2 linked regions of the Elephas maximus indicus genome follow. The protein of the gene in region 2 purifies or fractionates together with the protein of the main gene of each other region. This does not show direct contact. Links are inferred from orthologs where the notes say so. Each region holds a gene or a part of one and is shown on either strand. Other genes may lie near its edges.

Region 1 (7,027 bases), on a different chromosome or scaffold from region 2:
TTTTTGAGGGCGAGGGACAAGGCTTATTCATCTTTGTCTTCCTGGTCCTGGAGCCTATGTTTACTGAATGAATAAATGATACACTTCCGGCCAAATGACGTCTGTTTAACTTGCAACTTGAAACTACCTTGAATCGTGTGTTGCCTCTATTGATTTGGATCTCAAGGCAAATATGAAGGTATCTCTAAGGAAACGTGTTTCTTTTTTTAAAGAATGACTTTTTAATGATAGTGTCTGGTTTCTAAAGAACGTTTTATCTGTATTTTACTCTCTAGATAATTTAGTATTTGTGCAGACATAGGTTCTGCTATCTCTTTCCTTTTTTTCTTCTCTGAGCTTTATTCTGTCTTAAGGGAAAAGGATTAAGATGACTCTTAAACTCAGCTTGACATAAGCACATCTGATCATTTCACCCTGTGCGTCTTCTGCCTTTTCATTTCCTTCTAACACCTTCAACTTTTGATTTTAAAGTGCAGCGAGCGCAGTACTTAAATAGGCTTCATTTACTGTAAAGCCTGGTGTTCCTTGAGCATCGCGCCGTAACAGTCAATGAATAATCACAGGCTTCAACCAGGCAGGGGTTTAATAACTAGGCTGAGTAACTAGGAAACCAGCTAATAACAAGGACAAAAAAAAAAAAAAAAAAAAAAATTAGGAGCCCCGGTATCATCCCAGAACTAGCATACGTCATTTTATTAAGTTCATGTCACCATCAAACTGTGGCGGTGGAACAGTCACAGCACAGGACCCAGGGCAAGGGGGCTTTGTGGGAAGCAGGGAGCTAGAGGGGCCTGGGTGGGAGTCAGGAGACTAGGCTTGTGTGGACTCTGTGTCCCTTCCGAGTGTGACCCAGGCAAACTGACCTAGCTTCTTCTCCTAGAGGCCTCCACACCTCTTTCAGCTCTGCCATTTTGTCATCCAGGCCATGGTCATTTTGGGTAGGGTTTCACACCAGTGGGATCTGAGACAGTAGGGACAATTTCTTTTTTCATGTGTATGACAATTTTTTCCAAGTGTTTCTCATAAAATGATTCAAGGGGGGAGTTTGGAGAAAGAAACTTAGTAGCTGCCATTTTGAGCTCTCTCAGCTCAAAAGGCACTCAACACTGGTAAGTACTGGGATTTATGTCTTATGACATAGGTTCCATAGAGAGAGAGGGAGGGAGGGGTACGTGGCTGGGTGGGTGGGTGGATGGATGGTTGGATGGATGGATGGATGAACAGACAGATGCCAGTGAGCTGACTCTTTTTCATGGCAACCTGTGTCATCCTCCCAATCAATGCATGTTTGAGTCCATCATTGTGGCTATTAAGCCAATCCATCTTGCCGAGTGTCTCCCTCACCCTCACTGGTCCTCTACTTCACCAAACATGATGTCCTGCTTTGTCCATTGAGCCTTCCTGATGGCGTGTCCAAAGCAAGAGAATAGAACAAAGTTCTGTCGTAACCCATAAGGTTTTCATCGGCTGAGTTTTGGAAGTAGATCCCCAGGCCTTTCTTCATAGTCTCTCTTAGCCTAGAAGCTCCACAGAAAACTGTCCACCACGGGTGATGCTGCTTATATTTGAAATACCCATAGCATGGCTTCCAGCGTCACAGCAACACACAAGCCACCACACTATGACAAACTGACAGATGGGTGGTGGATAGGTTGGTTCCATAATTGCCCCTTTTCTGCAGAGGAGTTAAATAATAGGCTCAAGGTATTCCGAGTTAGTAAGCAGGGGAAGGCTTGGCCATTAGGAAAAGATTTTCTCCCAACTCCAGTGCTCCTTCCATTGATTTCTGTCTCTCAGCTTGTATATGCTTGAAACTGCCCAGTGAGCAAAGCGCTTCTTCCTGGCCCCCATCCTCAAAAGAAGGAAAGACGTCTTCACAAAGAATCAACGGGTCTCCATCTGTCCTCTTTAGGGAGCCCTGGGAGAAAAGTCTGGTGATCTACTTCCAAAAATCAGCCAGTGAAAACCCTGTGGATCCATGACCTATCACGGGAATGGCACAGGACAGGGCATCGTTTCATGCCATTGTGCCTGAGGTCACCATGAGTCGGGGCCAACTCAACGGCAGATTAACAACAGCACCAGGGAGCCTGTCCATCAACCTCTGGCACCAAACATGGGTGGGGAGCAGGCACAGGGGACTAGGCAGTGGCACCAAGCTTCTCAGACACCCGAAACTGGCCGTGGCACCAAGCTTCTCAGACACCATCCAGGACTGTGTGAGTAGCCTGGGGGAAAAGCCGCTGTATTACCTGGAAGGGCAGCCAGATGAGTCAGGATTTTCCGCTATGGTTTTAAGAAAAGAAAAAAAAGGAACACATTGCATCTCCATGGTAACTTACTATGGATCTGTATGCCATTTATAAAACTCCTTCTTGACCTATGTACCCTTTCTGATTCGGGCCTGAACGTACACTGAGAAGCCATCAGAATCAATTCAATCCCCCCAAAACACTGATTTCCCCTTGCACAATGTGGCCTGCCTCTGACATGTGCCATGGTGATACCTGGACACCCTCAAGTGGCAAGGCGCACTAAGGGGCTGCAGTATCTCGGTGATCCGGATAACGGCAGATCCATGGTTGCCACGGAAACCAGGAACCCTGGCTGACAGAAGCTGGACAGTTTCACTCCCTCCCGCGGCACCCTGTCTTTATGATGTAGCTGCTTTCAGTCCTAGGGTCTTGCCTAAACTAGGCTTTTTTAAAAAAATCTCGTACAAATCTAAATTTCTCTCCAAAATATTGAGAGTCTAAGTAGTTAAGTGACTGTGCTGGCAGCAGAAAGTTCAGCTGTTCGAATCCACCAGCCCCTCCCGGGGAGAAAGATGCAGCAATCTGCTTCAGTAAAGATTGCAACCTTGGAAACAATACGGGGCAGTTCTACTCTGTTCTATAGGGTCGCTACGAGTGGGAATCGACTAGACTGCTGTGGGTTTGGTTTGGGATCTAAGTCTAAATAGGAAATGCATACATTTTTAGCCATGGGCTCGGCGCCTTCTGATAAAAATGGAAACCCGCGTATAGGTGACGGTTTTGACCATGGGCTTGGGAGTCAGAAAAGGTCGGGTTGCCATCCTGAATTTCCCATGAGTACCCGCGCTTATGATCCAGTTACTTACCCTAAGATTCAGGTCTGTCATGTGCGAAGTGGCAACAATAAAACCTTGGAGAAATGTCCTGAAGATTAAATGATAATACATGTAGAGTGCTTCGCCTCGAGTGAAAGCTCAGTCGGTGTTGGTTACTACGATAGGCACCGCTCAATTCTAGGGGGCGCCCCTCACACGAGGGCTATGGAAATGGAATTACCCTGAGTAGCGCAATTCGTTGTGCACAATAAACTTGGTGGTGAGCCAGCAAAGGGCCCAGATCGTACTTGTTACCTTCATTTAGAGTCTTTTCATGACCCAATAACTAGAAATCTTGGATCCAGAGGGAGGTCCAAGAATGGGCCAGCTCAACTTTCGAGGGCACCGCCCAGGGAGATCTTATTAGCCAAGCGCCGCGACCACCCGTGTCACCAGCGCTCTTCATTATTCTCTTCATGCTGAATTCCAATGGCAGGTTTGGTGTGAAAGCCACAGGGATCAGGAGAGGAAACTGATTCTTCCCAGGAAAGGCTCTCCCGGCACACATCCTGAGTCCCTGGGACAGAGCCAGGTGACAGCGGACGCGGGAGAGAGGGCCCCGCCGGAAGGAGCTTGCTCCTCCCCTCCTCCGCTCCTCCCCTCCTCCCCTTTCTCTTCTCCCTTCTCTTCCTCTTCGCTCCGCTCTTCCTTCCAGCTTTTCCTTCCTTTCTCCTTTCTCCCTTCCTCTCCTTTGCCTCTCTACTCTTCTCCTCTCCTCCCCCTCCCTCTCTTCCTTTCCCTTGTCCCCGACCTCCTTCCTCCTCTGGTCCCCTCCCCCGTTCCCGTCCCTCCGCCTCCCCTCCTCCCCTTGTCTCCTCCCCTCTTTAGTCCCTCCTCTTCGCGCTCCTGAAGAGCTGCGCCGCGAGGGGACGGGCCGGTATTTCCTCCTGCTGCCGCGAGGAACACGGTGCACCCTAGGTCGAGAGCCCGGCTTGCCGCCCGCAACCCCCGGAGCGCCCCCGTCCGCCACCCGGTCCGCGGCCCCCGCGTCTTCAGCGTTCGCCCTCGCCCTCGCCTGGCGCGCACCCAGTTACCGCCGCCTCCGTCCGCGCCGGCCTGCCCGCAGGGGTAAGAGCGGGGTCCCTCCTGGAGCCCCCACCGCGCCGCAGACCCTGGAGGGCGCCGGCTAGGCGTCCGCTGAGAACCGCCTCCTGCGCCCGGCTCCTTTCCCTGGTAGGGGTGACCCAGAAACGGGACGGGAGACGCAGGCGACACCAAGATCTGGATCCTGGAGTGAACCAGGGGGTCAGGGTCGGGGTGGCGGTCCTCTTAGAATCCGAGGGGCGTGCGCCTGAGTTATCCTCACAGGCTTGTTTTCTCGGTACCGAGTGGCCTTGGGGGTGGCGGAGCGGCCGAGGGCCCGGCGGCAGGGTCAGTGCCGAGGTGCCCGGGCGAGGTTGCCCGGGGCCCCGAGACGTGCCGGCCCGGGCCTTGCGCACTCGGGCGGTGCCGCCGGGTCGCCGGGCGGCCTCCCGGGCGGGGTGCGGGTCTTGTTTCGCTTTGCTTGGCTTTGTTTTCTAAAAGGCATTCCGGGCCCGGTGGGGTTGTTCTTTGCCCAGGTTTCTCGTCCTGCGGGTGCCCAGGGCGCCTGAATTCACTAAGGGCGTTGAGAACGCAGAAGGGTGTCCGGGTAGCTCCCGCGCGCAGTCCACGGGCTTCCCGGCCCAGGCGCGCCCCGGCTTTGTGGGAGACTTTCTCAGGCGCCCCATTCTGGGGGGCGGTGCCGGGCCCGGCAGGGAGGTTGCCCGGATCGGGGAGGGGGGGCCCCGGCGCGTAAAGCGGAAATGCTACGGCACCCCGGAGCGCAGGGTCCCCAACTGCTCGGCCAAGTCCAGGGCCCAGCCCGGGCGGCAGGCGAGGGAGGCCCCAGGAGGGTGAACGGGTGGCGCCCTCTTGTCCTTCCGCTTGGGCGAAACCCTTACGGGTGCCCGAAAACCTCTGGATTCGGGGTCCCCTCGGCCGACATTGGTGAGGGAATGGGGGACCGGGAGGCGTAGGCTGCCTTTATTTTCTTGAAGTATTTTGAAGGAAAGAGTAATCGTGAGCGTTTGCGTATGTGTATTTGGGGGCTTTGGGTTTCTTTTTTTTTTTAAGTTCAGGAGGCTTTTAATGCTAGACGGTTCTAAATTTCAGGGTAGACTGAAATAGCAGTTGTGCTACTTTAGAAAGTAAATAGGTGAGCAGGCCCCTTTGGAGATAGGAGTAATTTATTTTATTTCACCAGCAAGAGATTACATGTGTTCCATGGGATGGAAGTGATGTGTGTTAGCTGCCTGCCCACACCGCCAGCAATCACCCATATAAATCTCTAAGTTAAGGTTTATTAAAATTCTGAGTAACATCGCAGTACAATAAATGTTAGCACCGCGTATCCCGCAGGGAAATCGATTCAAACACTCATTCCTGAGATTAGTCATTCATCTCTAAACTGATAACTTTCCAAGTGAAAAAAGCAAAAGGTACCTTCAAAAGTGTGAAAGGCTTGTTTCATTTTGTTTTTCTTAAGATTTACCTAAGTGCAAACCTGTGTTCTGATCTCACATAACTGATTATTTGTTCTAATAAGGGTACTGCCGTCTGGCAGGTTGTCCTCTTTTCGAATGTTACCACTGTCGGCCATTCTGTTCTGCCATTTCCCCCCCTTTTTTTGGTTCAAAAGCAGTGATCAGTATGGCAACACCGAAATGACCTAAACATGAAGTTGATTAATGTGGAGGAACTTGGCATGCCTGTCACTTTAACAAGCTGTGTTGAGTAAAATAAGTGAACTTAAATTTGATTAGTGATGTGTCTGCCTGAAACCATTTAGTCGAGCTCTTTGATTCTACATGGTTTTTTTACAAAACTCATTAAGAGCTGGACAACAAAAGAATTCTATTCTGTAGCTAGTAATTATACCTCTTTATGTGGGAGGGGTAGGCTGCCTTTTCTCTCGGTATTTGTACACAAAAGCTAGGCAGAGCTTTTCCGTGGCCGTCCGCAGCCTTTCTCTGTCAGTCTCTGTGAAGTTAGAACATGTAGGATAAAGCCGGCAGCCTACTAACCAAAAGGTTGGTGGTTCGAGGCCACCCAGAGAAGGAAGGCCTGCCTGGCAATTTACTTCCAAAAAATTAGCCATTGAAAACCCTGTGGAGCACAGTTCTACTCTGACACACACATGGGTTGCTATAAGTTGGAGTTGACTCGACAGCAGCTGGTTTTGCTGGGTTCTGGATAGATACTGGACAAACCCAAGATGTCTATTGTCTTGGCTCGGGCCTACTGTCATAGTATCTGTTTGCTGTCTCTGCCTTATGGTGATGTGGAGGCAGAAGGGCACGTGCCTGGCACAGTGGGTTAGGACCACATGCAACGGGGATTTGGTCCCTCGTCTGCTCCTTAGTAGCCCCGTGGTAGCTGTTGATCCAGGGCCAGTTAACACCTGGGCCTCCAGTGCCTCCCTACAAGATGGCACACTGTCTCCAGCCCTGATGTTGGGGAGGTTCAGGGAAAGGGTGCTTAGGGCTGAGTGAGTAGGCGTCTGTCAGCGCTGGCGAGCCTTAGCAGTGAGCACTGATTCTTGAGAAATGCGGACGGCAGAAGTGACAAGATGGAGATTCTGATCCAGCGTGGCCACTTTTGATCCCAGAACAACCCTCCCCTCCCACCCACCCATGGGGTGATTATCAAGGTGTTCTCTCTCCTGTCTTGGCTGCTGTGATAATTACCTTCAGGGCAAGGGACTTTACAGCCTTTCCAATGTCTCTTGCCTCCCACACTGCCATTTTAGGGGTGTGTGTGTGTGTCTCCAGTATCCAGAGCCCAGCAAAACCAGTTGCCATCGAGTTGATTGCAACTCATGGCAACCCCATGTGTGTTAGTGTTGGGTGGCAGGGTTGTTGGGAGGTGTGTTTTAGT
Region 2 (6,979 bases):
AAGTGAAATATGCAAAATTTTTAACTGAAAACTCTCAGTGGACACTTCCACACTACAGTATAAACGAAAACAGAATAATTTAAGCAGCATGATTAGAACTCAAGAGACTAGACTGAAATTTTTAAATTAGGTGATGGGCTAATAAAAATTTTAATAATCTTGTTTCAAAAAAAAAAAAAAGTGCCAGCTGCTTAAACTGTTTCTACCCTTTCCAAACCCAAACCAAACCCACTGCCGTCAAGTTGATTCCAACTCAAGGTGACCCTACAGGACAGAGGTAAACTGCCCAACAGGGTTTCCAAGGCTGTAAATCTTTACAGGAGCAGACTGCTACATCTTTCTCCCGCAGAGCAGCTGGTAGGTTCAAACCACTGGTTAGCACCAAGAGCTTAACCACTGAGCAACCAGTGCTCCCCACCCTCTCCAATTCCCTATAAAATAGCCTATAGCACACTGAAACTCACATGGTGCCTGGCAGACAGTGAGTATTAAGTAAGTATTTGTTAAATGAATGAATAATTCCCTTACCTCTCACATCTTTTACCCTGTTTTAGTATACCTATTTTTTTTTTTTATATGGATGCTGGAAGCTCTGGTGGCACAATGGTTAAGCGCTCAGCTGCTAATCAAAAGGTCGGCAGTTTGAATACAGCAGCCAATCCTTGGAAGCCTCATGGGACAGTTCTACTGTCCTACAGGGTTGCAATGAGCCAAAATCAACTCAACGGCAATGGGGTTGGGTTTGGTTTTTTATATGGATGCTGATGCGTTTGTTTTCTTTTCAGTCTACTGAAAATTGAAATGGTAGCAAAAAGACTAAATTCTGCAAACCCTCCACTTTATTTTACTAGCTTCTACCTTACCACGTGGCACTCTCTAAAAACAAAATAAAAAAAAACCCACTTCCGTCAAGTCGATTCCGACTCATAGCAACCGTACAAGACAGAGTAGAACTGCCCCACAGGGTTTCCAAAGGAGCAGGTGATGGATTCAAACTGCCAGCCTTTTGGTTAGCAGCCGAGCTCTTAACCATTATGCCACCAAGGCTCCTCTCTACTGAGTATGAAGGCAAACACCTCTTAGATCCAATCATAAACTGCTAAAATTATTCATAACTATCATTCACAATTATAGCCCAGGTTCAACGAAAAATGAAATAATTCTGAATCCAAAATAATTTAAAAGAAAAGCAGAAATATGAATAAAGACAGTATTATTTTTCTGCAAGAGTCATAAACTGTATATCTAATCAACAGCTTCCCTAGCAGTTCCAACTTATTCCCCTATCATACTTAATGACACCAACCCAGATCATCCCCATAATGTTAGTGCAAGCCAACTTTCTACAACATAATCTCTTAAGGAAATCTATCAATTTCCTCCAAAAGAAAAGCACAAAACCCCACCAGTTTCTACTCAGCTAATTCCTTTCTCATAATCCAACCAATAATATCCAAAACCCAATAAAAATCCCAAAACACTTTCAGCAAGTCAACTTCATATGGCTAGCCCGTCTATGCCAAATCTCATGACTGAATAGTACTGTGTCATTCAAGATGCCAACTATGATGGCAAAATCTCTAATACCTAGCGTTTCTCAAATCAGAAGCTCCAGTATACTCTAATGCGTTATACGAGTGTAATACAACTGTAATTAACACACCGATGATGTTTACTAAATGTGGTTCCCTCTTGAAGATATTCGATTGAGAAATTGAATATTTTGTGAATAGACTTTGACTACAGCAGATATAAAAGTGGCCTACACTTTGAAATGTGAGACGAGATATATTTAAATACACATGTACACACACAACTGATACTTAAATACTACTTCCCCTTAAAACATCCTTACCCGTGTTTACAGCACCATGCACCATACCGCCAGTAAGCAAATCCTGACCAGCAACGCCATCCCTCAGCATCCCAGGAAGCTTCACCCTCTTCACAAATTTAATTCACCTCAACAAGTAATCGGATTGATTTTTGGGTGCCTAAAACGCCAGACAGCCAGAAAATGCAAGGCCCAACCTTCTTACCCAACTTTCTTCTTTATCCACAACATTATTCGATGCTCCATCTCCCCATCCTATTTATTATGCCTTAAATTCCTCTCACTTCCTCCCCACCACTGCTCACCTCTTCACTACCCCCAACCTGCCTTGGGACTTCAACATCTCCTCACTCCTCCCCTCCGTCCTTACCACCCCCCCACCCCCACCACCGCTACAAGTTCGAATCTCGGAAACGCTGACTTCAGAACAAAACCAGTATCCAAGCTCTTACACAGGCCACCCTCACACTGGACCCCACCAGCCTAACCAGCAGGAACTCGTAACACACAGGGGGCAAGGGGTGCGGGGTGTTATTCAAACCTACCAGACGAAGTCGTTGCTTTTGTCTTCATAGGAGTTGATGAGCCCGTTGCAGAGCGGGGTGGGCAGAGGTCGCTTCCTGCTGCCGCTGCCTAGGCTGGAGCTGCTCCCACCTACGCCGGGGCTGGGCCTGGCCGCGCAGCTGAGCCGGGACGGGCCCACGGACACCGCCCCGCCGCCGCTGCCCGACGCCGCGGCCGCCACCAGCACAGGCCGCACCGGGCCCCCGAGGCCGCCCGAGCCCGCGGCCTGGGCCGCTCCGCCGGACACCAGCGCCGCCGCCGAAGCCGCCACGGAAGGGGGCGACGGGGAAGAGGATAAGGACGAGGAGGCGGAAGTCACCGAGGAGGCCGCCGAGGAGCCAGGGCTCGTCCCAGCGGAGCCCGATCCGGCCGGGCGGCTACCTGACATCGTGACTCCCTCCCCCCCGGCACGGCGCTCGGAGGAGAGGGACCCAGACACGACCCACCGCCGCCTCCCCTCCCTCAGTCTCAGTGCATCCCGAGGACGCGCGCCGCGCCGGGAGGTGGGGCTGAGGAACAATAAAGTTGATTTTTTTCTTAAGGCATCCACACAACGGTGTCCGACGGGAGGGGGCGGAGGAAACTAATAAAGGGGAGTAGAAACCACTACCGCTCTCGAGGCCGCCGCCGCCGCCAACCCCTGCGCGCCGTGGGCAGGTCGTGCGCGCGCGCGCGCGCGCGAGCGGCGGAAGGGGCGGGAGCGGCGGGGGATACAACTTTCTACGCCGCCCGGGCGGTGCTCGTGCACGAACGGCGACGGCGGCGGCTTAGCAACCAGAGGAGCCCTGGGCGGGAGCTGTTTTCGCTGGTGACGTACGGAAGGGTAGGCAGTCTTAATGGAGTGAAAGGGCGGAGGAGAGTAAAATGAACGGTAGGATTGGTGGTTTGGTGGACGGGGAGCGGGGGCAGGAGAAGAGAGCCGCTCACAAAACGACTGCATACGCGCGCCCTGGGCGCCCACCCTCGCGAGCTAGCTAGGGTCTCCGTTCCAGGCGAGGAAGAGCGTGATATACGCATGCGTGGGAGCGAACCGCGTTCCTGAGTGTGAAGAGGGAGCGATCCCTGTCTCCTGAGAGGCGGATGGGTGACCCAATAGCAAGAGCACGACAGGTGCTTCTCGATCAGGGATTGAAGGTGCTGTAGACTGGGGACAAACGGAAGGAACCTGGAAGCACCGCGCAGTTCGAAAGAACCCTGGACTGAGAGTCAAGGTTTCCAGGCTCTGCTGTTATTGAGCCATTCTACAGTGTTGTGAGAATTAAATAAAGGTGAAGTCAGTGAAGAGTGTAGCAAGTTTTACCAGTTTGACCATGAGCTTATTTTAAACGTTGTTTACTAAGTTGGGTGTGACATAATAGGAAAACAGATTATACTCAATCGGAAGACAGGTCAGTCAAACCTCAGTTTAATGTGGAATTGATATCATTCTATCACAAAACAAGGAAACACAATATTCGATACCACCGGAAAATATGCAATTTCTGTTAAACCTTTTGGAATATTGAAAATTGCCTACAGAGTTTCGTTTACCACTTTGAGAATCCCTAAGGTTCTTGGGGATGTATGTAAGTTAGAAACAGCTGAACTGGGTGATTTTCAGTATCTTTTCCGTCTCCATCATTCTGTGATTCTTAGAGGAAAGGATCTGATTTAGTTTTGTCCTGAGTGTTGAAGAAGCCTATAGGGAAAGCAAGGAACTTTTCTGAAGGACATCAATGTATGTAAGGGGGCTAGGTCACAGAGGGGCTTGAGTGAAGGCCCAGAAACTCGGATTTAGCCACCCAGCTGGGCAGTGAACTTTCATAAGGTTGCCACCCTCTTCACTCTGCCTTAGCTGTTCACCTTGGTATTCCCACCTTGGGTTTACCTCAAGTTTCTGCTTAGAATGATGGTATAGGAATGGATTTATCAGATTTCCAAGAACCTCCTTGCAAGAACATTGCCTCATCCAACTCTTGTTTCAAACTATTTTCTAGACACAGCTGAAATGTGAAGCCTTCCCTGACTCTATCCTTAGCAGAGATAGTTGAGCCGTCTTTTGTGCTCCTATGATTGTTTGTACTTATATAATTGTATTTTAATTGTTTATGTGTTATTCTCCACTAGCCTGTCAACCACAACTTTCTTTGTATTTCCAACATGTTACACCATGCCTGGTGCTTATTGTTTGTTGACTAATAAATGAATAAAGCCAATGATCTCATTTTTATTTTAATTATTTCTTAAATGTTTGTCTGTCTAACTAAATTGTTAAGTTTCGTGAAAACAAGGCCATATTGGTCTGTTTGAGGCATTCGGTGTTTGGTGAAGGAAAGCATAAATAGATGAACATAATTTGATGAAAATTCATTGAATGCTTAGTACGGGAAGGCATGGGCTAACCAAGGAAGAGACAAAACCACACCTGTTGCCATGGAGTAGATTTTGACTCATAGCAACCCTATAGGACAGAGTAGAACTGGCCCATAGGGTTTCTAAGGCTGTAAATCTTTATGGAAGCAGACTGCCACATCTTTCTCCCTGACCTTTCAATTAGCAGCCAAGTGCTTAACCACTGAGCTACCAGGGCTCCTCAGGAAGAGATAGAGAAGTCTATAAAACAAGCTTATGGAATAATTGAGGACTTACAGAAATGGATTTTAAAAAGCTAGATGATGATGCCAAGGAACACATGCTTAATGCATAATGGATAAAAATCCAATAGGAGCTGAAGCAAGAGCAAGTACTGAAGACCAGCCATGTTGATGAGGGAAGGAATTAGGCTTTAAGAGAAAAGTATGGTTTGATCAAGCAGAAAGTATAATTGAAGTCATGAACCCAGAAAATAATCAGTAAAAATGCTTACATCAAGTTCAGTTATCTATTTCATAGGGGTAGAAGAGTTTATTTGGGAGAACTTCATTTGGGAACAAGATTGTAAAAAGGTTGAAATCCAGTTTTGGGCATATCCTATAAGGCAATTGGAAACAGTGAAGGTATCCGGCAGGGTAAGCGTAGGGAATATATTCAAAGTGTTAAAGAATAAGCTTTCAGAAGATTAATCTTTCAGAAGAGCTGAAAGATTCAGAGCAAACAGACTAAGAAAACATTATCAGTCTGAGCCTAAGTGATGAGATTCTAGATGAGGGTGGTGGCAAGGAAAGCAAGGGAGTATCTGAGAAAAACACTAAAGAATTTAGGAATAAATTACTCTCTGCAAAAGAATCTTTAAGCTCCTTGAGGACATGACCTATGTCTGTCATGTTCATCACTGTCTTTCCCACATGCATAGTATGTTGATTAAGTAAAAAAGATGGAGCACAAAGAGTAAGGAATGACTCCAGAGATGACTCTTGGGATAACCATAGCATGATGACAGAATTCGAGACATCTGGCAGATGGTTTAGTTTTGGGTATGTTGAATGAGGGTGGAAAAAACATTTACTAAGCATATCCGGGCAATGATTAAAAATGCAGGGCTGGGCCAAAGAGAAATTTCAGCACTTGAGAAATTTGGAAATTAGTAAGGGGATAATATATCTATAATCAAAGAGTTATTAAGGGCCTGTCACTTGCTGTGCATGTTACTACACCCATGAGTCTTAAACTATGCTGCAAAAAAGAATCATGTAGAGAGTTTGTTAAAAACTGTGGATTTCTAAGTTCCACCCCAAAAAGATTCTGATTAATAGGCCTGAAATACCCTTTGCCATCGAGTCAATTCTGACTCATTGTAAGGGCCTAAGAATATGGACTTTTACCAGCACTCAGGTGAATCTGACGTGAGTGACCAACTCTGAGAAACATTGTGCTTTATTCTGTGGGAGGTATAAGAGAAATAATGTGAAGTAGTCTTCTATCCAGGTAGCTTAGGTGCCTAAAAGTAATATGGCCCCAACTGAGAAGTCTCCCAGGAAAAAATCTTCAGTGCTTGGTATTACCTCTTGGGAACCTATTTTCAGTAAATTCACAAAAGGAAATGGGATGTGATACAGTGGCATTTCCTTTTTTTTACCAGATAAATGTATAAAGACTGTGTTCTGAGAATACACAGGCCTTCCTAGTTTCTACTGGCAAGATCTTCTGGGAAAACAGAAGAGGAAGCATGACAAAACATACACAAAGAAGGAAGTCAGGCAACTCAAAATATGAGAAGAGAAATAAATTGTTGGCCGGTGCCGTCGAGTCAGCTCTGACTCATAGTGTCCTCATGTACAACAGAAGGAAACACTGCCTGGTCCTGCACCATCCTCACAGTCGTTGCTATGAAGTAGAGAATAGGAAAAAAGAAAAAAATTAATAAAAGATGAAAGTAAGTGCATAATAAAAGCTAAGTCTGAATAGTCAAAGGAATTTTATCCCATGAACCACAAAAATAGCAATGAAAACAAAATCCAAAGTCTTCTAGCAAAAACACTTATACTGAAGTAAAATCTAATGGAGTTAAAGTGGAATATAATTACCAAGAGGATTGAGCTTCCCAGACCTATTTCTGAGGTGCCTTATGCAAGTATGATATTTTAGGGAGATAAGGTCACTGTTTTCCACCTCCATCTAGCCCTGCCCTTTGGCTGTCACCCCAACCAAACAATCCCCCCAATA

What was found. Proteins that work in one complex are often made in the same cells at the same time.
Region 1: the proteins of COP1 (region 2) and ETS2 purify together in Homo sapiens (affinity purification with western blotting; 3 studies listed by BioGRID and IntAct, with this or other methods). This does not show direct contact. The link is inferred for Elephas maximus indicus from reciprocal best matches to the Homo sapiens genes COP1 and ETS2.

The regions. Positions count from the first base shown.
Region 1 is NC_064820.1:221,194,177-221,201,203, forward strand, and holds the start of ETS2 (protein C-ets-2), read left to right. Parts: upstream 1-3,980; 5' UTR 3,981-4,198; intron 4,199-7,027. UniProt on the Homo sapiens protein: Transcription factor activating transcription. Binds specifically the DNA GGAA/T core motif (Ets-binding site or EBS) in gene promoters and stimulates transcription.
Region 2 is NC_064842.1:38,684,270-38,691,248, forward strand, and holds the start of COP1 (E3 ubiquitin-protein ligase COP1), read right to left. Parts: upstream 3,062-6,979; 5' UTR 2,787-3,061; coding exon 2,380-2,786; intron 1-2,379. UniProt on the Homo sapiens protein: E3 ubiquitin-protein ligase that mediates ubiquitination and subsequent proteasomal degradation of target proteins.